Linked DNA regions of Danio rerio. The protein of the gene in region 2 binds, or shares a complex with, the protein of the main gene of each other region. Links are inferred from orthologs where the notes say so. Each region holds a gene or a part of one and is shown on either strand. Other genes may lie near its edges.

Region 1 (7,893 bases), on a different chromosome or scaffold from region 2:
AAGCTGGTAATATTCTTGGCTGACTAACTAACTAACTAACTAACTAACTAACTAACTAACTAACTAACTAACTAACTAATTAACTAACCAACCAACTAACTAATTAATAACTAAATCCATGAATTTAATATTTGTGTATTTGAAATGTCAAATATTTGCATCTAATTTTCTTACAGTTTTTCTCAGTCGCTTTAGTGCATTTCTCACAACACCAGTACATTTCTGCACAACAGTTATTGCATTTCTCAAAACAATTAAACTGCAAAACCTAGCTGATAACCTGCAAAAGCGCGTCACATGCTCAAAATGGATAGTTCATTCCTCAAAAGCAAGTATTGATGTCAATCAAAGTGTCAGTATCATCAAAATGAAAAGTCCTGACACCATTGTTTATGAACAAGATAGTCAAATGGCTTTGTCATGTTTTCATTATGTCAGTTTACTCTGGACATTTTTTCAATGCAAAAAAGTCAGATTTTGGTGACACTTCCTGAAAATGCTCAAGACAGAACTTAATACTATTTGCACAGCCATTTGAAAACTACAGCAAAGTTTGACAACAGCTTTTAGTGAGGTATCCGATTACAAGACACTGAATATGTATGTTTCACATTTTTACTGCACATGCTCGTTGCAATTCTAATTTATTCACAGCATTGTGCAAAAGAATAAACACACCCTTATGTACAACAAGCACAAGCTTCCTTTGGGTAAAACAGGGCACAACTGTAAACAATATTGCAGAACATATTGGAACTGGACCTACAACAAACACAGGTCAGTAAATCATTCATGAAATTGTTCAATTTTAAAGACATTTTCAGGAAAATAAAGATACATTTTTTTTTAATAAAATTTGCTAGATAGATTTTGATAACTAGTTCAACATTTTTGTATGTAATGACTCAAGTAATGAAATGAGGACTATTAGTTTTATATGAAATGACTTTTCAGCATTCACAAGTTTAGTTACAGTTTTTCTCAGTCGCTTTGGTGCGTTTCTCACAACACCTGTGCATTTCTGCACAACAGTGAATGCATTTCTCAAAACAATTAGTACAAACTGCAAAACCTAGCTGATAACCTGCAAAAGTGTGTCACATGCTCAAAATGTTCATTCCTCAAAAGCAAGTATTGATGTCAATCAAAGAGTCAGTATCACCAAAATGAAAAGTCCTGACACCATTGTTTATGAACAAGATAGTCAAATGGCTTTGTCATGTTTTCATTATGTTAGTTTACTCTGGACATTTTTTCAATGCAAAAAAGTCAGATTTTGGTAAAACTTTGTGAAAATGCTCAAGACAGCACTGTATACTATTAGCACAGCCAATTGAAAACTACAGTAAAGTTAGACATCACTGCATTTAGTGAGTGTATCTAGTACAAGACACTGAATATGTATGTTTCACATTTGTTCTACATTTGCTCTTTACAATTTGAATTTATTCACAGCATTGTGCAGAAGAATAGACGCACCCTTTTTTACAACAAACATAAACTTTCTTTGTGTTGAACTGTGCACAACCGTAAACAATATTGCAGAACATATTGGAACTGAACCAACATACATACACAGGTCAGTAAATCATTCATGAAATTGTTCAATTTAGAAGACATTTTCAGTAAAATAATTTTTTTTTTGATAAAATTAGCTTGCAAGATTTTGACAACTAGTTCAACATTTTTGTATGTAATGACTCAAGTAATAAAATGAAGACTGTTAGTTTTATTTGCAATGACTATTCAGCATTTACAAGTTTAGTTAATTTGGACTGACATGACATTAGCAAATGATAATGTTATAAACAGCAGAGAGTTGTATGAAAGCAATTGATGCATGTCCAAAAGCATTTGCAGTTTGTTGAAAGGAATGAGAAACTGCTACTATGTGCACAAATGACTAATTGTTTTGAGAAATGCATGACCTGATGTGCTAATGTAAATAGTGTTGTGAGAAATGCACCAAAGCGACTGAGAAAAACTGTAACATACAGTGATTGTTCCATAATGACACATTATTAAGACTGTCTGAAGTTATGTTTGTATAGCATTTTCCAATACAACAAAACCTGCTTATGAAAATTGGAAAGTTTCAGTGGAATTTTAGATAATTCAATGTCACATAAAAAAAAAAAAAATTTTACCTTCTTGTTTTTTAAACAAATAAGATGGGATTACAAACCAATAAGAATCCTCATTTTTTATCTATCTAATTAGCTTCTAATAAATAAGTGCTAGAATGTGCACCAATAGTAGCTAAAGCATAAGCAATAGTGGGTTATAAAATGTATAGGTACTTAATGGAAAAGTTTAGTATTTAAAAAACATAAGTACTAGCTGCATTAAAGTTTTCAAGACAGCACTATATATACACTATTTGCTTGGCCATTTGAAAACACCAGTAAAGTTAAACATCACTGCATTTAGTGAGGTATCTGAGTACAAGACACTGAATATGTATGTTTCACATTTTAACTGCATTTGCTCTTTACAATTCTAATTTATTCACAGCATTGTGCAAAGGAATAAACACACCGTTACAACAAACAAACTCACTTTGGGTAGAGCTGTGCACAACTGTAAACAATACTGCAGTACATATTGGAACTGAACCTACAACATACACAGGTCAGTAAATCATTCATGAAACTGTTTAATTTTTTAGACATTTTCAGGAAAATAAATATTTTTATAAAATTTGCTTGACAGATTTTGACAAATAGTTCAACGTTTTTGTATGTAATGACTCAAGTAATGAAATGAGGACTATTAGTTTTATATGGAATGACTATTCAGCATTTACAAATTTAATTCATTTTGACTGACATGACATAAGCAAATGATAATGATATAAACAGCAGAGAGTTGTATAAAAGCAATTGATGCATGTCCAAAAGTATTTGCAATTTGTTGGAAGGATTGAGAAAATGCTACTAGGATGTGCACAAATGAGTAACTGTTTTGATAAATACATTAACTGTTGTGCAAATGTAAATACCCTGCTGAAAAAAACAGCTTAAACCAGCATAAGCTGGTTGGCTGGTTTTAGCTGGTTGACCAGCCTGGTTTTAGAGGTGTTTTTGGCCATTTCCAGGCTGTTTTTTTCAGCAGGATAGTGTTGTAAGAAATGCACCAAAGCGACTGAGAAAAACTGTAAATGTGAAAACGTCTGGCGTTACATGTAAAACGAAAGAAAGTCATCTTACTCGTTTCTATCGCTAGATGGCAGTGTAATTCTTCTCCGTTGCGTTTCACATCGGTTTACCAGCAGGAGAAGTCACGAAGAAATGAAACATGGCGGACTCGGATGGGAGACAGGTTGACAGCATCAACCATGCTACAGGTAAAACATAATATTGCCAACTTTCTACGTGTGCTGAGACCGACGTGAACATGTACACAAGCAGTCGTTTACAGTCACCAACAGAGAGCTTGTGTTACGGCTCGTTCGGTCGCTTGATCGCCTCTGCCATGACACAGCTGACTTGACACATCCATACAGTGGAAATTACATCATGCTGTTTTGCCATTTGGAATGTATTTATGCTGACCTCTAACTGCATAAATTGATCACATTATTCCAAATTGTGTGTAACGCGATATTTTTTCAAGACAAAGAGAATCTTTATGCAACGTTTTTAGTTTGGTAAAGATCGTGTGCCAGCATGATGAAATAACACTGCAAATTCAGTGTCGAGGGGTTTTCTGTTCTCGTAGACCTCATTACTTCAAACTTAAACCGCCTTTTCTCTGTAAATGACTATAATCTAGCAAATTTAACCTTGATATACCTTTTAAATATCTGTTTGTTTGTGTCATAGGTGAAGAAGGGAAGTTGCAAGATATTGTAAAAGCAAAGGTAGGTCTTTTTTATTATTAATATTATTATAAATTCACTATATTTTATACCATATTTTATTTGTATGTTATTTTTCAAATCCATTGATTGTTTCTTAAAAAGTACTTAATATTTAAAAAAATTAATTGTCCAAATGTCCTAAAGAGATGCTGTCCTGGACAACATTTTAGGCTTTACTAGAAATAAAATGTTTTTTTAATGCCCAAAGTGCAGATTTGATTTTTAAGACATGCCACATTTGTTTACAGGATTTCTGAATTTAATAATAAATTGAAACTGTGACACTTTTTTTTTTTACTTATAGAGTGAAGGTAAGGAGTTGACCAAAGAAGAAAAGCAGCGTCTTAGGAAAGAGAAGAAGCAGCATAAAAAGAATAAAAAAGATGACAACAAGGGTCCTCCAGAGAAGGAAAAGGAGAAGGAAAAAGAGAAAGCATCTGCTCCACCTCCATCAAAGCCTGTCACCCAGAGCCCGGCACATAAAGGTACCTCAGTGTGAAAACAAAAGTGTTCTCAATTTTCATACAATGCAATTTTTATTAAAGTTAATTTAATATCGATTGAAATTTGAAATAACTTGGTATAATTAAAGGAAATTTATTTATGTGTTTTTCTGTCTTATTAAGACTAGTTTAATATTTACAGGGAAGAATGGAGTTAAAAACATTTATGCAAATAGAGTCCCCCCCCCTCGCAAAGAAAATGTTGACCCTGACCCTGATTGTATAAGTCTATATACAAAAAACTGAAATAATACTAGTAGAGCTTAATAAAATGAAGCTGTTGCAAACATTATAAACATATTATAGTTCCCCTCATTGCCAGTAGAATAGTAAAGAAGATTAATAGTCCTAAAAGTAAAAGGCAGTCTACACTTTGAGTAAAAAAAAAAAAAAACAAGAAACATCTTCTTTGGAATAAAAGTCATGGCACATTTCAGATAATTAAAAAAAGGCAACTTATGTTTTTGAAAATACAATGTCTGTTTTGATGCTGCTATTTTTATTTCTTAGCTTAATGGAGTTTTTTAATAGCCTTTTAATCTACTCTATGGTCTATTTTGGGGTGCTGTTTTAACTGTCGGACCCTTTGATGTCAGCAGCTGCTCCAGCACCTGTAACTGCATCTGCATCTGAAACTCCTGCGGCTGCAGAGAAGCCTGCAAAGACCAAAGCAGAGCTGCGAGCAGAGCGACGGGCACGGCAAGACTCAGAACGAGCATCAAAACAGGGCAAGAAGGAAGGTGGTCAACAATCCACCTCCAGCAAACCTAAAGCCTCCCCCAATGAGCTCCAGCCAGGTAATTTATACTTGCGGACCTTACTCTTCAACCTGACCATACCGTTATAATATTGTAATTGATGTTTTTGCAATTTTATCGAGCTTGTTGCAAAAAAAGAATGAAAACACATCTCGTGCGAGCAAATATTTAGGTGTTATAAGTAGGGATATGGACTTTTGGGCCGATATCGATAACTGATAACCATACAGGTACTCCGAAAGTGGCGAGAGCGTCAAAGTAGCCCGAAGTTATTCATTTTCAATGAGAGCCAGTGGCGAGGAGCAGCGTGGCGCATCTTTACCTGTGTAGCCGTTCTTTCTCTGTAGCCGCAATGTTTTGAACTTATTTGAATGCATTCGTTTACTGGATCTTTGGACTGAAAGGTTTACGGGGTTTCACTTGTTTTTAGAAATGTCTGATCGTAAAACCTGCAACTTTTTATTTCTAAGGTATTTTTTTTGGTTATTATGTACTGATTCAAATTACTGATTCAAATTACAAGTCGGGCGCAGGTGCAATCATCGAATATATTCAATGCAAGCCAGCGCCACGGTATTCACTGCATCATCACTGTGACACTTATTCACATATGACTGGATGTGGTGTCATGATTTTGGCTACTGCAGGACACTACTGAATGATGCGCATCAGAGGGGATTTAGAAGTGGTAGGCTATACTATACCTGAATCAACCCATTCTCACGAATTGCCTGCTTATACACTCCAATACACCATATTATCGTCATTTTTGATTGCGACTTGTAAAAAGCATTTACGTCCTTGTCCTTTTTTAATGAGCCATTTTCTGAAGCTTTAAATGCACCATGCGCATATCTAAACGAATGCTGCAATAGACACCTCACTTTTCATGTAATAAACACTTTATCCGCGACACACACTCTGCCAGCTTTAATTTTTTAAAGTAATTTTAGGTTATACGTTTACATAGGAGGCAAAGCAGTGGCGCAATAGGTAGTGCTGTCTCCTCACAGCAAGAAGGTTGCTGGTTCGATTCTCGGCTCAGTTGGCGTTTCTGTGTGGAGTTTGCATGTTCTCCCTGCCTTCGCGTGGGTTTCCTCCGGGTGTTCCGGTTTCCCTCCGGTTTTACTTTTGGTGCAAAAAAAAGGCCTGAATTATTGAAAGTGTTAAAATATTCTTTCAATTTATTTTATAACTATGAAATTTAATTAATAAACAAAGTAAAGCATTAACTTGCCAAGAAATGCTCCACTTTACCACGGTAAAATAATGCCCCCACTCATGCAATACTAGAACCTGGTCTATATAACCATGGAAATATGTGTACACACAATAACACCAAAGTTGCGTACTTGTAAAATAAACAAAATGAACAAGATGCACTTTCTCTCATGCAGCCTCTGTAAAATGTAGCGCTTCGCAGCAATGAATTGGCTACTTGATGAAAAGAAATGCATGCAGCTTCGGCAATCTTCATATTTTTCGGCATATTTTCCACTGACTGAGAATAATGCAGCACTATTTTATTAACAAATTATTACAATTCTTTTTTTCCCCCCGATTTTATATATATATATATATATATATATATATATATATATATATATATATATATATATATATATATCCATCTATTTTTAGGCACCGACACACCTGTGGCTACGCCCCTGTTAAAAAGGAATTATAAGTTTGATCCTATCCTAATGAGCGCCATAATGTATTTATTAGTTGTCTGCAAGCATCAGTGTTTATTGAGATTGAAATAATAAAAAATAAAATAAAATTGAAAATGAGATAAAAAAATATTGTTATAGCAACCCTTGTGACTGCTTTGGGAAATAACACTTGTCGTAGATGTCACAGGATGACTGATCGTTAAGGAACGTGTTGTCTGGCACATTTGTTACCCACGACAGGTCAATATTTTATCAAGAAAAAAATTGCATAATCTGACAAAGTGACCTCCGTAACCGGCAATAAAAATTAATAAAATAAAAAACATTAATAAAAAGTAATGTACATATGTACAAATACGTAATGTCCAAAAAAGTGTTTTGATCCACCGTACAAGCGAAAAGCTAAAAACAGTTAGTATTACTTTAGAAAATGCTGCTTAAATGCATCCTATTTGGCATTTTAGATTCTTTTCAACACGTGTAGTTGCTGCTTTTCAATCAGACAATGCTTCTATGTTCATTCTTGCTGTCAAATGCGGTAAAAAAGATTTATGATGAACTGCTGTAAGTATCAAACATTAACTGCAGCCGCTGTGTAACATGCAGCGCTCCTGAAAGTTTGGATGGGGTGGTGGAATTTTTTCGCTTTTCTAAACCTAAAACCCAAGGGGAGAAAGGCCAGCGTGGATCAAGCTATGTGAGAGGCCGTAAAAGCAGCACAACCCAGTCATATTTCCTTTTGTTTCAAGCTACGATTATTTAGATTACATATCAACAGAACAAAACGGATATGATCACAAACTGAGCATATAATTCAACTGCAGCTGTCCATGTCAGAGCTACAATTTTTTAGAAACCTTTTGGAGATTTAGCCATTGGTAGGCCCACACGGAATCTGTGCGCACAAAAATCTGCAGATTTTTAGCCCATCATCGAGTCTATTTATTTACTCCTGTAAATGTGTGTAAATTTATATATATTCCATTTTTAAATTAATTTTAGTAATATTATTGACTAAAATAAAAGTGATAATTTGATTAATTTACAATACAGTAATAGTCTTTTAGAAGAGAGATTATATAAGAGACTTGCTT
Region 2 (7,140 bases):
TCGTATTACACTGAACTACATCCTCAGGAGGATACCATTTCCCTGGTCATTTTAATACTGGGGAAAAGCAGTTATCTAACATTTTGATGTAGCGCAAACTGCATTTAGGTATACATGCCACAAATACTCTATAAATGCGGAAATTTCTGTGTTAAATTGATAAATATAAAGGCTAACTCAATGGTTCTAGTTCAGAACAACACATTGAAATACAGTTTAGCATTTTTTTTATTTGACTACATCTATTTAATGTTTTAAGTTTGTAAAATATAACTTCTATTAAAATGAGTTGACATATATTCTAAAGTGGGACATCCTGCCTTTAACTCTCACGTGTTTGTTGTAGGTTTACAGCATTTTAAGGCATGTTGCTGAAGTCCTGGAGTACACCAAAGATGAGCAGCTGGAGAGTCTGTATCAGAGAACCGCTTGGGTGTTTGATGAGAAGTACAAGCGGCCTGGATACGGTGCTTATGACGTCTTTAAGCAGGCTGTGTCGTAAGTGTGCACTCCTCTATAAACTGTTGGTTATGAACTGACCTGGACATATGTTGTTGATGTATTACAAATTCTGCTTAAAGATGAAAGTTCACCCTAAATGGAAAGTTCTGCCATTATTTACTCACCCTCCATTTGTTCCAGACCTGTTGTAAAGAGGGTTTTTTGTTCTATTAAAAACAAGACATATTTTAAAGTAGGACTGGGCGATGAATCGAATAAGAAATCTAAACCGAAGTCCATATCTTATAACTACACAATTTTCCAATGTTGGTTATTTTGTTTTTAAAGTTGTTAATTCTAACCCCTAAAACACTACTGTGTGTGATCAGACTGAATGCTTGAGAATTTTACTGACAGCATATTGAGTGCATTATTCGTATGCACAGTAATCTGACGTACTGTAAACACACGTCTCTCATATGTCAGAAAAGGGCCCTCTGCATGTAAATCATATTCTTTGTTGGTGGTTTATTTGGAATTGGGTGGGGATATCAGTGATTCAAAGGCCAAAGCTTATGTAATAAACCATCTAGGGCTGTGCAATTAATCGAAATTTAGTTTCAGTTTTGGCTTCTAACGATTGTGGAAAAACATCATTCGAGATGAAACGATTATTGCATCATATACCGCCCCCTTTCCAGTTGTACTCATTTGTTGCTCTGCTAAGCTCAGTTTCACGTGAAAATGACTAAAAGCATGTATTGTAATGTAACTTTTGCAGCACGGGATGCGCATCATTCATTGGTGTACATTCTAATCATTCATGTTTCTAAAACCACAAAAGGGATCACATACTGTTGTGTGTATGCGCCCAGCCTCAGAAACGAGTAGAGCACAAACATCTAGTCATCTTAATGTGAGTGCTTTAATGGTCAAATACATGCAAATTCGTGTCAAAACGAGGTGTTTTGTGATTATTCATATTAATCCTCATTTGTGTAATAAACGAGTTGAGAATCATGTGAATTTAGACATGTGAAAGTAAAACCATAAATCAGAACCGCACTGCTCTTAAAGTGACAGCATGCAATATTCCTGCTGCCGACTGTTTTTAATATTAATCAAACAACAAAAGGAGAAAATCACTCACTGCTCTTGACTGAAGGAATTTTTAGTTATAATTTTTTTCTAATAAAAAAGTTTTTTTCTTACAGTAAAGAACGATGCTTGAGACGCAATTTGTTTAATATTTTTACTCTATTGTATTTATTTCCCTTTACTTATTTACAGGGAGAAAATTAACTGTATATATACAGTTAAAGTAGGAATTCTTAGCAGCCCTTTATATTTTTCTCCTAATTTCTGTTTAGCGGAAAGATAGATTTAATAACTCATTTCTAATAACTGATTTCTTTTATCTTTGCTATGGTGATGGCAAATAATATTTTACTAAATATTTTTCAAGATACAAGCATACAGCTCAAAGTGCAGTTCAAAGGTCTTAACTGGGTTAATTAGGCAAGTCATTGTATAACAATAGTTTCTTCTGCAGAAAATCTGAAATAGGCTTTAAAATATTTAAACCAGCTTTTATTCTGGCCAAAATAAAACAAAATACTTTTTCTAGAAAAAAAAATATTATAGGAATTACTGCGAAAAATTCATTGCTCTGTTAAACATCACTTGGGGGAAAAAAATTGATGGGCGAATAATTTTGACTTCAATTGTATATCGTTTTGAATAATCGTGATTTCAATTATGTCCAAAATAATCATGATTATGAATTTTCCCATAATCGAGCAGCCCTAATACCATCCGCATTTTACTTTTCATTTTTACAGCGAATCAGTTTGAGTAAATGCAGACAATGCAATTATTTTTATGTTTTTATTTTATTTATTGTTTTTTTAAATTACCTATAACATGTCAAGTATCACTCGCTCACTTTCCTTCTGCTTAATAATACATTTTATTTTTAATTTGCTTTTCTTAGACTTAAAGTTCTACAAGGCAAAATACCAACCATAGCAGAAACAGCACAACAATAAAAAGATGCAATAAGAATATGAACCATAAAATGTAATTAGCATTTGTTTACAGGTGATGGAAATTATTATTGTAATAAGAAAAAGTTATTATAATACTTTTTCCACTTTTCACAAGAACATTTAAAATGTAATTTTGCCTTTAACAAGATGCTTGTTATTTTCCATTTTTGACAAGGATATATGGATAAATAATTACATTTAAAATAAAGCAATCGTTCAGTAATCAAAATTGAGGTAAAATGTTTATTTAATGGATGTTTTAATTTTAGGTCATATCGCCTGGCCCTAATTTTGTAGAATGTTATAAACTGGTAGTCTTTGGCTTTCATGGTTTTCTTTTCCTACTATTGATGTCAGTGGCTAAGGATTTTCAACATTTTTTTTAAAATGTCATTGTGAAAAAACTAACAAGCAATTACAATAGAGGTTGAGTAAATGTAGATATGTTTTTGTGTCAACCACCTCTTTGTGTTTTTTTTTTTTTTTTTTTTTGTAGGGATCCAGCTATATTAGATTGTCTGGAATTGACAGAGGAGGAACGAGCAGTCCTGATTGATAACATCAACAGACGCCTCACTCCACAGGCTGTCAAAATCCGAGCAGACATTGAGGTGGCCTGCTATGGGTATGAGGGCATCGATGCAGTGAAGGAGGCTTTGAGAGCAGGACTAACATGTTCAACAGAGTGCATGCCCATCAAGGTAAAAACTAGACCACAAATTATTTCAGATATGTCAGTTCATTCATATATAACATCCCTGAAATTTGATGTCCCATATTGAGTCTCTGTATATGGACCATTCATACATGCAGTTAAAGTCTGAATTATTTGACACCTTGTTTATTTTTCCCCAATTTCTGTTTAACGGAGGGAAGATTTTTTCCAACACATTTCTAAACATAATAGTTTTAATAACTCCTTTCTAATAACTGGTTTACTTTATCTTTGCCATGATGACAGTAAATACTATTTGGCTTGATATATTTCAAGACACTTCTATACAGCTTAAAGTGACATTTAAAGGCTTAACTAGGCTAAGTAGGTTAACTAGGCAGGTTAAGGTAATTTGGTAAGTTATTGTATACCGATGGTTTTTTTGTTTAGACTATCGAAAAAATTATAGCTTAAAGGGTCTAATAATTTTGACCTCGTTTTTTTTTTTTTTTCTTAATTGCTTTTATTCTAGCCGAAATAAAACAAATAAGACTTTCTCCTGAAGAAAAAATATTATCAGACATACTGTGAAAATGTCTTTGCTCTGTTAAACATCATTTGGGAAATATAAAAAAAGAAAGAAAAAAAATCAAAGGGGGGCTAATAATTCTGACTTCAACTGTATTACATTCATGTTTAAATATTTGAACACTTTATTTATTTGTTTTGTTTTGATAAGGTGTTACACTGATAATACTGGAAGAATCATGGAGGAATAAAGAATGTAATTTGTTTTGTAGTGTGGTATTTTATATTATTATATATACTGCATGATAAGAAAACATACATAGCAAATAGTCTTTAAAAATGTGGTCATAATGACAAGATAAATCAAGTTATTAAATTACGATGTAGTAATTACACAGAAGCAAAATTCTTTCTATATCAATTTTCCTGAGTAGCACATTAATATAATATCAGTATTGTGCAATTTTTGTTTTGAACCCAAGATGTTTTATTTTGTCAATGAAGAAAGTTTAAGAAAAGGATCAATTTGTGTATCTCAGTAAACATTGCAGTATTTAGTTGTGGACTAAATCTGTTTTTACAGGGCACCTATGATCACAATCATTATTTGTAAGCTGTTTGGACAGAACCATTTGTAGGAATAGTGTGTCCACAGTCATATTGGAGTGATAGAGACACAATAATTCTTTTGTTTTAATTTTCTGACGTTATATATAGGATCCAAATCCCTCACATTTTGAGGCCGACCGTAATGTAGGAGTGCTGTTTTCCCGCCCACCGAATTGATTGACATCCGCGTTTTAACATGTCTCCTTACTAGTAACGTGTATAATCATATCCACAAGACAAGATGTGCGCAAAGCAACTGCAGTTAAAAGATCTGTTCAGCTCTGTGTTCAGCAGCACCTCAAGAAAGAATTTTACAGGATTTAAACATTTATAAAACGGTGCATGTTTGTACTAAAGACAGTACAATCACTGTGTAGTTCTTCACCACAGCCGCGTGTCAGTACAATTGCGGACCATTGATAAATCAGGAGGAAAATTAATAATGTTTTTATTGCAGATCAACTTGATTGCTCCTCCTCGATATGTTATGACCACGACCACACTGGAGCGCACAGAGGGCCTTTCTGTGCTCAATCAAGCCATGGCCGTCATTAAAGAGAAGATCGAAGAGAAGAGAGGCGTCTTCAACATTCAGATGGAGGTCAGAATTTAGCATTTAAAATTCACTGTTTACTTACCCTCAATTTATCCAAACTTTTATGATTTTTTTTAAAGAATGCAGTAAACCATGTGTATGTATGTTTTAAGTCTATTTTTTAAAATGTCTAATCCATAACGCTGGAATTGCTTAGCTTTGCACATGCTGGGCAGTTCACAGTGGAAATCTGATATTGGCCACATTTAAAACAACAAAGTGAAGAGCTATGCAAAATAAATAAATCCCTCTCTGATTATTTGACTTGTTTTAATGCCCCTGAAGCCAAAAGTTGTGACGGACACGGATGAGACGGAGCTGGCACGACAGTTGGAGCGGCTGGAGAGAGAAAATGCTGAGGTGGATGGAGATGATGATGCAGAGGAAATGGAGGCCAAGACTGAGGACTAGTCTGAAGAAAGACGACAAACCAGCAGTGCTATAATCATTCCAGAGACTTCAGAGTTATAGTGAAGGGGTTATCACATCATGAAGACTGAAAAAAAACACTGCTTCTGTGATACTAAGCAGATTGTGAGTGAGAGATGTGGACTACATTGATGTACTTTTGCTTATCGGATGAGAATCGTGAGAGGAATTTCTTCCATGAACACTAGTTTTACTTTAGGAATGTTAGTACAGATAGTATTGTAGTTGATTTAAGTGACCTTCGTTTCCAGCTTTATTCAAGATGAGATTTGTGGTAAAAAAAAACAAACAAAAAAAAAACAAGCAAAACTGAAATCTTTATAGACAGCCAGCCAGTTTACTTATCAAAAATCTGTTCCACAGAGCTAATAAAAACAAGCAGTTTTCATGTACATTTTGTCATGTCTCTTGTTCTGTGCTGCTGATTACATCAAAGATTATTCAAGATGATAACTTCTCTCACTTGGATGTATTTTTCTAAACAGGAAAGTGGTATATTGGCAGATATTGTTTCTTTTGTTACAATTTGTAACAAATTTTTAAAAATGTGTAATTTTATTATTATTATTATTATCATTATTATTATTAAGAAATAAGAATAAATGTCTGGGGGGCTCCAACTATTTTTGGTAGTATATTGTAAAACCCAACAGTCAACTTTCTGAAATTAAATGAGTGTAGTTAACTCAAACTTTGAAATTTATTTTGAAAAGAGTTTGAACTGTGTTGAAGGTAATGAGTTAATTAGATACCTCATTACTTCAACTTAAATTGAGTAAGTTAACAGTACTCATAAAGATTAGTTTTTTAACTCAAAGGTTTGAGTTGATTTAACTTGTTGGGTTTTACAGTACTGTTGGTTTAAGTTCTCTTCATTTATATTGTTTTGCTGTGCTCAAATATCTTCGTTTACTCAAATGGATTAAGTTCACAGTACTCATTAGGAATAGTTTTTGAACTTTTATGGTTTGTTGCACTCAGCTTCCTCAAATGGATTGAGTTACCTTAACTTTTTGGGTTTTACAGTGTAGTTTGGTCATACTTGCTTCAGTGAATCAGATTTATGAATGTGTTTAAATCAATGTTTTAAGGGATATTTAGTGACTTTTAGAGGTTATTGGTCAAACTATACAAACTGTCTTTTTTTCGCTACATGCAGATATAAAGACCTGTTTTACAAGAAACGTGTTTTGTGAATATTTAAGATGTCTATCAGTGCTCTGGAACTGCCAGTTTCGGGTTGAATCATATTTTTCCTAGCATTGATTGGCGCATTTATGCATTCACAATGGTATGAACTGTTATTGGGGGATCAAATGTAAATGTATATAATACATTTTTAATTATTAATACTTCAGATATAGATCCGAGATCAGAGAAAGCTATTTCTTGCTATTTAAGGGTCTACTTCGTTTCAAACAACTTTTATTATACTTGCTCCCACCAGGAGATGGCGCTGTTGTATCACACGTCAGGATGTAAGCAGGCCCATTTAATGGTTACAAACATTCACTTAAACCGTATTTAAGAGCTATTTTATTTATCTTGCAGCTTTCAGAGGAGAAAAATGTTTTTCAGTCTGTGTCGTCTGAAGCAAGAGCAACTTGAAGAGAGTCCCATACATTTGCATCAGGTCAGCCAGTGTCAGCTATTTTTTTCCAGAAACACAGATGCACCTGAATCAAAACTACTAACGTTAATCGTGCTGTAGGTTTCTGACTCAGGATTTCTAACTTTGATTTTGTATATTGTAGAAGATTTGTGACAAATTAATCATAAGTATTATAAATAATAGCTGTAACGTTACATTTGTAACTTTTGCATCCAATCACTTC
Region 3 (7,865 bases), on a different chromosome or scaffold from region 2:
CACGTACGAAGAACGAACCCCTGGACTGATAATATGCCTGATATATAAAATTAATTGTCTATGTTTACCTTTCGTGATACAGGCTGGCGATGACGGCTAGTTTGTTGGTCCTTGACATGACCAAATGAGCATTTGCCAGGACCATCAAACTGTCCAAACATGCTGAAAGGGTGAACTGAAGGAAAATAAATAACAAGTTATTTGTTCACCTGTATTGGTAATAGCGATAATAGTGCAAACATGGTGGATTATAGTGAATAAACAGTTGCTGCTAGAAGGGAAACAGCTGCGGCCAGAAGTTTAAATGAGAATTTATTATATTATTTATGTAATAATGACCTATCAATTGTATTTTATTAACATCTACTTAAACCCCAACCCACACAGTAATGTAAACACCGTAATTATACAGAATATTATTCATGTTACTTATGTATCAACATCCTCCTCACCCCAACACTAAAACTACCTGAAAAGTATTCATTACTGTTGTACAACAGTACACTCACCGGCCACTTTATTAGGTACATCTTACTAGTACCAGGTTGGACCCCTTTTGCCCTCAGAACTGCCTTAATCCTTCATGGTATAGATTCAACACGCTACTGGAAATATTCCTCAGAGATTTTGCTCCATATTGACATGATAGCATCACGCAGTTGCTGCAGATTTGTCGGCTGCACATCCATGATGCCAATCTCCTGCTCCACCACATCCCAAAGGTGCTCTATTGGATTGAGCTCTGGTGACTGTGGAGGCCATTTGAGTACAGTGAACTCATTGTCATGTTCATGAAACCAGTCTGAGATGATTCACGCTTTATGACATGGTGCCTTAACCTGCTGGAAGTAGCCATCAGAAGATGGAGACACTGTGATCATAAAGGGATGGACATGGTAGGCTACAATACTCAGGTAGGCTGTGGTGTTGACACCATGCTCAATTGGTACTAATGGACCCAAAGTGTTCTAAGAAAATCTCTCCCACACCATTACACCGCCACCACAAGCCTGAACCATTGATACAGGGCAGGATGGATTCATGATTTCATGTTGTTGACTCTAAATTCTGACCCGAACATCTGAATGTGTCAGCAGAAATGGAGACTCATCAGAGCAGGCAATGGTTCTCCAATCTTCTATTGTCCAGTTTTGGTGAGTCTGTGTGAATTGTAGCCTCAGTTTCCTGCTCTTAGCTGACAGGAGCGGCACCCGGTGTGGTCTTCTGCTGCTGTAGCCCATCCGCCTCAAGGTTGGACGTGTAGTGTGTTCAGAGATGCTCTTCTGCAGACCTCGGGTGATTATTTGAGTTACTGTTGCCTTTCTATCAGCTGGAACCAGTTTGGCCATTCTCCTCTGGCATCAAAAAGGCATTTGTGCCAACAGAACTGCCGCTCACTGCATATTTTCTCTTGTTCAGACCATTCTCTGTGAACCCTAGAGATGGTTGTGCGTGAAAATCCCAGTAGATCAGCAGTTTCTGAAACACTCAGACCAGCCTGTCTGGCACCAACAATCATGCCACATTCAAAGTCACTTAAATCCCCTTTCTGATGCTCGCTTTGAACTGCAGCAGATCGTCCTGAGCATGTCTTGAAGCCTAAATGCATTGAGTTGCTGCCCTGTGATTGGCTGATAAGAAATTTGCGTTAATGAGTAGCTGGACAGGTGTACCTAATAAAGTGGCCGGTGAGTGTATAATGACGGGAGTAAACGCAGCTGTATCTCTTATAGACTTTACCTAAAATAAATTTAAATATTAATGAATTAATATTAAACTGACCTTTGGCTCCCGCTGCGCCTGCTGACCCCACCACACAGGATTCACATCCAGCACTATGACCAGAATATTAATATCATCGTCTGCAAAACATCAGCAAGCGCTATTATTATTATCATCATCATCTTTTGTATGTTTATTGTTGAAGCATCTTCATCTTCTTCCTACACAAAGAGAAACCCGAGAGATCGAAAAACCGTTAAACGTTTCATTAATGGTGTTTGTGTGATTTACAAACCCGAAGCCATTGCTGCAATTCCGGCGTCTCTAAATTGATATAAAACTGTATTTCTTTGCTGTTTTCTTCAATATGTTGAAAGTTGTGCTGTTTGGACTCATGCTTAAATCTTCTTCTGTTTATTTAATGGAGAGATTGAACTCAGTGTAGCGCCACCTGCTGTACTGGTGCAGGAAAAAAAATATCATTTTTTAATTTTCCTTCTTTATTTTATTTCGTTTTATTTTATTTTTGTTTTATTTTTATATTTTTTTTACTGTATTTTATTTATTTTTTATTTTATTTTTGTTTTATTTATTTTTGTTTTCTTATTTTTATTTTTATTTATTTTATTTACAATCCTTCGGCCTTCTAATCACAATATTTAGTTTAGTTTAGATTTATTTTCTTTGATTTTATTTTTTTAATTTTTTTATTTTTGTTTTATTTTATTTATCTCATTTCAATTCATTTTTTTATTTTAACTAATCTTATCTTATCCTATCTTATTTTACTATTATTTTTTATTTTTCATTTTTTTTACTTTACTTTATTTTATTTTATTTAACTTTTTTATCTTATTTTATTATTTTATTTTATTTCCTTTTACTTTTTATCTTATTTTATTGTTTTATTTTATTTAATTTTACATTATTTTAATTTAATTTTATTTAATTTTATTTAATTTTATTTAATTTTATTTTATTTTATCACTCTTTTTTTATATTATTATTAATATTATTATTTTATTTTATTATTATTTTGTTTTATTTTACTCACTATCCTCCGGCATTCCATATGCAATATTATATTTTATATTTATTTATCTTGCAGAGACAACTAAACTTTTTTTTTCAGGCACCGAAATTAAACTCTACAAGCTCACAGTTTGTATATGTCTATACTTATAACATTTAATTTTATTATTTTACTTTGAAAAAATATATATATATCATTAGCAGTATATTATTATGCATTCCGTATTGTGTTCTATTAAGTTACGTTAATTAATGTATTTCCTACTCATTAAAGTACTAAATTTATTCCTTATACACACAACAATTATTAATATAAATTAATTTTAGTTCTTTTTTGTACTAATTTATTTATATGCCGTAATAATATTTTTAAAAATATTCGATTCGATTGATAATTATTTTAATTGTGTTATTATACAGTTTGAATAACCCTGTAGTAGAGAATTAAACAAATGATCCTGCTGTTTTTCTGCTGTCCAGCAGCGGCGCTACATGAAGCGACTGTTCACTCGACATAAAACAACGAAGAAGAAGAAAGTGAGCATGTCCACTTGTTCACTGTAAATAGCCTTTCATTTGAAATACACTAGAAGAATAGATGTTATTCAGTTTCTGAAAGGGATCGTATGAAATAAATGGGTAAAGCAAGCATTACTTTGTAGACAAACTTTAAACAATTCGTCGTACTGGATGTCAGAGAGCGTCATGACAGATCGTTGCATCAGCGACACTATCATTATTAGCTCGTGAAACTCAAAACTTGACAGATCTCTGAGAGAGAAAGTGCTTTTAAAATGGAGGAAAGAGGTGAGTTTGACAACAACACAAGACAGAACACACTTAATAATTATTCAGAGATGATTCTGAGTTATTTGCGTAGCTGCTTTGCTTTCCTGAGCATCTTATATTACATTTTGAATTATATTATGATCAATTATGTTGATATGTTGGTTGGTAACGCAAGGCATTTGTGCTTGTTTTCGACCTGTTTGATTGACACACATAATATCAATAATAATTGAGAACATTTCGTGATTCCACGTGTATATATGTATAGCTAATGCATTATGGGAACATCTAAAGACTTTGTTGATCAGGAGATTAATAATATTTCATTTATTTAATTATTTAAAGGTGCAAGAGTCATGATGTTTACACAGATGATTATAGCTGCTCATAGTGTGTGTTATAAAAGCTGTTCTTTATTAATTTTAGGGTTTGACTTTTTTGTTCACTCGCTATTTAATGTCTGAGTAATTGTTAAATGTTGTTAAATGTTTCAATGTTGTTAAATTGTTGGTAATTGTAGTTATTTGTGGTCAAAATTATGAATAGCTTTACTATACTATACTGTAAGTCTAACATTTTACCAAAAGGTTCAGTTTATTATTAATTAATTCATCGGCTAGTACTAAAGACTATAAACATAATTATAAACATAATTATCTAAAATATATTTTACACTTTATATGAGTTTAGTTTTATACTGTATTGTTATCCAGCAGAAGTTTAAATACAATTTCAGTTAGGTAATTTGAAGTTAAGTACTTTTCTTACCCAACACAGCTTACTTTCACCAAACAATTCAACAGCGAAGGTACAGAATTACAAAGACAAAAATGCAAAACGTTTACATTTATACCCTGATATTTTCAGATTGGGAATTAAAACAATTCAACAGTGGAAGTCAGTAATTTATTTGAATATGTATTTCTCTCTTCCAGAACTGGTGGAGTATTTCCGTGGGCAGATCAGGGAAGATCCAGATGTGGCTTCAGCGGTGGCTGCGATTCGATCACTGCTTGAGTTCCTGAAGAGGGATCAGAGTGAGTTTGTGCTGTTTGATTTTCGGCTTGGGATGTGGATGTGAACTGATGCTTGAAATAGATGTGAACCGATGCTTGATGTGGATGTCAACTGATGTGAATTGATGCTTTATTTGGATATGAACTAATGTGAACCGATACTTGATATGGATGTGAACTAATGTGAACTGGTTCTTGTTGTGGATGTCAACTGATGTGAAGCGATGGTTGATGTGGATGTGAACTAATGTGAACTGATACTTAATTTGAATGTGAACTGGTTCTTGATGTGGAAGTCAACTGATGTGAACCGATGGTTGATGTGGATGTGAACTAATGAGAATTGATACTTGATATAGAAGTGAACTCATGAGGGTGTGAACCGATACCTGATATAGATATGAACCCATGCTTGATGTGGATGTGAACTAATGTGAACTGAAACTGGATAATATAGATGTGGATCAATGTGGGTGTGAACCGATGCTTGATTTAGATGTGAACAAATGTGAACTAATACTTGACATAGATGTGATTGTAAACCGATGCTTGATGTGCATGTGAACCGACTCCTGATGTGGGTGTGAACTGATGCTTGATGTGGATATAAACTAATGTGAAGATATAATTGATATAGATGTGAACAGATTCTTGATGTGAATGTGAAATGATGTGAACTAGTTTGAACCTATGCTTGATTTGGATGTGAACTAGTGTGAACCGATGCTTGATGTGGATGGGAACTAATGTGAATCGATACTTTATGTAGATGGGAACTGATGCTTGATAAGGTTGTGAAATTATGTGAACTAATGTGAACCGTTTCTTGATTTAAATGTGAACTAGTGCGAACTGATGCTTGATGTAGATGGGAACTAATGTGAACCGATGCTTGATTTGGATGTGAACTAGTGTGAACCGATGCTTGATTTGGATGTGAACTAGTGTGAACCGATGCTTGATGTGGATGGGAACTAATGTGAATCGATGCTTGATTTGGATGTGAACTAATGTGAACTGATGCTTGATGTAGATGGGAACTAATGTGAACCGATGCTTGATTTGGATGTGAACTAGTGTGAACCGATGCTTGATGTGGATGGGAACTAATGTGAATCGATGCTTGATTTGGATGTGAACTAGTGTGAACCCATGCTTGATGTGGATGTGAACTAATGTGAACTGAAACTGGATAATATAGATGTGGATCAATGTGGGTGTGAGCCTATGCTTGATGTGAACTACTGTGAACTGATGCTTGATTTAGATGTGAACTAATGTGAACTAATACTTGACATAGATGTGATTGTAAACCGATGCTTGATGTGCATGTGAACCGACTCCTGATGTGGGTGTGAACTGATGCTTGATGTGGATATAAACTAATGTGAAGATATAATTGATATAGATGTGAACAGATTCTTGATGTGAATGTGAAATGATGTGAACTAGTGTGAACCGATGCTTGATGTGGATGGGAACTAATGTGAATCGATACTTTATGTAGATGGGAACTGATGCTTGATAAGGTTGTGAAATTATGTGAACTAATGTGAACCGTTTCTTGATTTAAATGTGAACTAGTGCGAACTGATGCTTGATGTAGATGGGAACTAATGTGAACCGATGCTTGATTTGGATGTGAACTAGTGTGAACCGATGCTTGATTTGGATGTGAACTAGTGTGAACCGATGCTTGATTTGGATGTGAACTAGTGTGAACCGATGCTTGATGTGGATGGGAACTAATGTGAATCGATGCTTGATTTGGATGTGAACTAATGTGAACTGATGCTTGATGTAGATGGGAACTAATGTGAACCGATGCTTGATTTGGATGTGAACTAGTGTGAACCGATGCTTGATGTGGATGGGAACTAATGTGAATCGATGCTTGATTTGGATGTGAACTAGTGTGAACCCATGCTTGATGTGGATGTGAACTAATGTGAACTGAAACTGGATAATATAGATGTGGATCAATGTGGGTGTGAGCCTATGCTTGATGTGAACTACTGTGAACTGATGCTTGATTTAGATGTGAACTAATGTGAACTAATACTTGACATAGATGTGATTGTAAACCGATGCTTGATGTGCATGTGAACCGACTCCTGATGTGGGTGTGAACTGATGCTTGATGTGGATATAAACTAATGTGAAGATATAATTGATATAGATGTGAACAGATTCTTGATGTGAATGTGAAATGATGTGAACTAGTGTGAACCGATGCTTGATGTGGATGGGAACTAATGTGAATCGATACTTTATGTAGATGGGAACTGATGCTTGATAAGGTTGTGAAATTATGTGAACTAATGTGAACCGTTTCTTGATTTAAATGTGAACTAGTGCGAACTGATGCTTGATGTAGATGGGAACTAATGTGAACCGATGCTTGATTTGGATGTGAACTAGTGTGAACCGATGCTTGATTTGGATGTGAACTAGTGTGAACCGATGCTTGATTTGGATGTGAACTAGTGTGAACCGATGCTTGATGTGGATGGGAACTAATGTGAATCGATGCTTGATTTGGATGTGAACTAATGTGAACTGATGCTTGATGTAGATGGGAACTAATGTGAACCGATGCTTGATTTGGATGTGAACTAGTGTGAACCGATGCTTGATGTGGATGGGAACTAATGTGAATCGATGCTTGATTTGGATGTGAACTAGTGTGAACCCATGCTTGATGTGGATGTGAACTAATGTGAACTGAAACTGGATAATATAGATGTGGATCAATGTGGGTGTGAGCCTATGCTTGATGTGAACTACTGTGAACTGATGCTTGATTTAGATGTGAACTAATGTGAACTAATACTTGACATAGATGTGATTGTAAACCGATGCTTGATGTGCATGTGAACCGACTCCTGATGTGGGTGTGAACTGATGCTTGATGTGGATATAAACTAATGTGAAGATATAATTGATATAGATGTGAACAGATTCTTGATGTGAATGTGAAATGATGTGAACTAGTGTGAACCGATGCTTGATGTGGATGGGAACTAATGTGAATCGATACTTTATGTAGATGGGAACTGATGCTTGATAAGGTTGTGAAATTATGTGAACTAATGTGAACCGTTTCTTGATTTAAATGTGAACTAGTGCGAACTGATGCTTGATGTAGATGGGAACTAATGTGAACCGATGCTTGATTTGGATGTGAACTAGTGTGAACCGATGCTTGATTTGGATGTGAACTAGTGTGAACCGATGCTTGATTTGGATGTGAACTAGTGTGAACCGATGCTTGATGTGGATGGGAACTAATGTGAATCGATACTT

Evidence for each region. The genes of interacting proteins can lie anywhere in the genome.
Region 1: the proteins of eif2s1a (region 2) and eif2b4 are in contact, whole or in part, in a cryo-EM structure (PDB 6O81), measured with the Homo sapiens proteins. The link is inferred for Danio rerio from reciprocal best matches to the Homo sapiens genes EIF2S1 and EIF2B4. Residues at the interface, in NP_004085.1 of Homo sapiens: Met30, Tyr33, Met45, Arg55, Arg57, Arg75, Glu79, Lys80, Tyr82; in NP_001029288.1 of Homo sapiens: Asn245, Glu246, Glu247, Arg250, Thr285, Ser520, Ser521, Asp522.
Region 3: the proteins of eif2s1a (region 2) and eif2b1 are in contact, whole or in part, in a cryo-EM structure (PDB 6K72), measured with the Homo sapiens proteins. The link is inferred for Danio rerio from reciprocal best matches to the Homo sapiens genes EIF2S1 and EIF2B1. Residues at the interface, in NP_004085.1 of Homo sapiens: Ala28, Glu29, Met30, Tyr33, Gly44, Met45, Leu47, Leu48, Arg75, Lys80, Tyr82, Ile83, Asp84, Arg88; in NP_001405.1 of Homo sapiens: Gly39, Thr41, Ile42, Gln43, Gly44, Leu45, Arg46, Ala47, Asn48, Glu70, Arg74, Ser77, Ser80, Leu81, Glu82, Tyr83, Ser84, Asp85, Tyr86, Cys89, Leu305.

Annotation. Positions count from the first base shown.
Region 1 is NC_133195.1:21,987,613-21,995,505, reverse strand, and holds the start of eif2b4 (translation initiation factor eIF2B subunit delta), read left to right. Parts: upstream 1-3,289; 5' UTR 3,290-3,297; coding exon 3,298-3,346; intron 3,347-3,824; coding exon 3,825-3,862; intron 3,863-4,166; coding exon 4,167-4,347; intron 4,348-4,961; coding exon of another isoform or gene 4,962-4,964; coding exon 4,965-5,162; intron 5,163-7,893. UniProt on the Homo sapiens protein: Acts as a component of the translation initiation factor 2B (eIF2B) complex, which catalyzes the exchange of GDP for GTP on eukaryotic initiation factor 2 (eIF2) gamma subunit.
Region 2 is NC_133192.1:35,957,582-35,964,721, forward strand, and holds the end of eif2s1a (eukaryotic translation initiation factor 2 subunit 1a), read left to right. Parts: intron 1-346; coding exon 347-498; intron 499-2,985; coding exon 2,986-3,190; intron 3,191-4,738; coding exon 4,739-4,882; intron 4,883-5,161; coding exon 5,162-5,287; 3' UTR 5,288-5,697; downstream 5,698-7,140. UniProt on the Homo sapiens protein: Member of the eIF2 complex that functions in the early steps of protein synthesis by forming a ternary complex with GTP and initiator tRNA. This complex binds to a 40S ribosomal subunit, followed by mRNA binding to form a 43S pre-initiation complex (43S PIC).
Region 3 is NC_133180.1:75,664,917-75,672,781, reverse strand, and holds the start of eif2b1 (translation initiation factor eIF2B subunit alpha), read left to right. Parts: upstream 1-3,261; 5' UTR 3,262-3,548; coding exon 3,549-3,561; intron 3,562-4,478; coding exon 4,479-4,580; intron 4,581-7,865.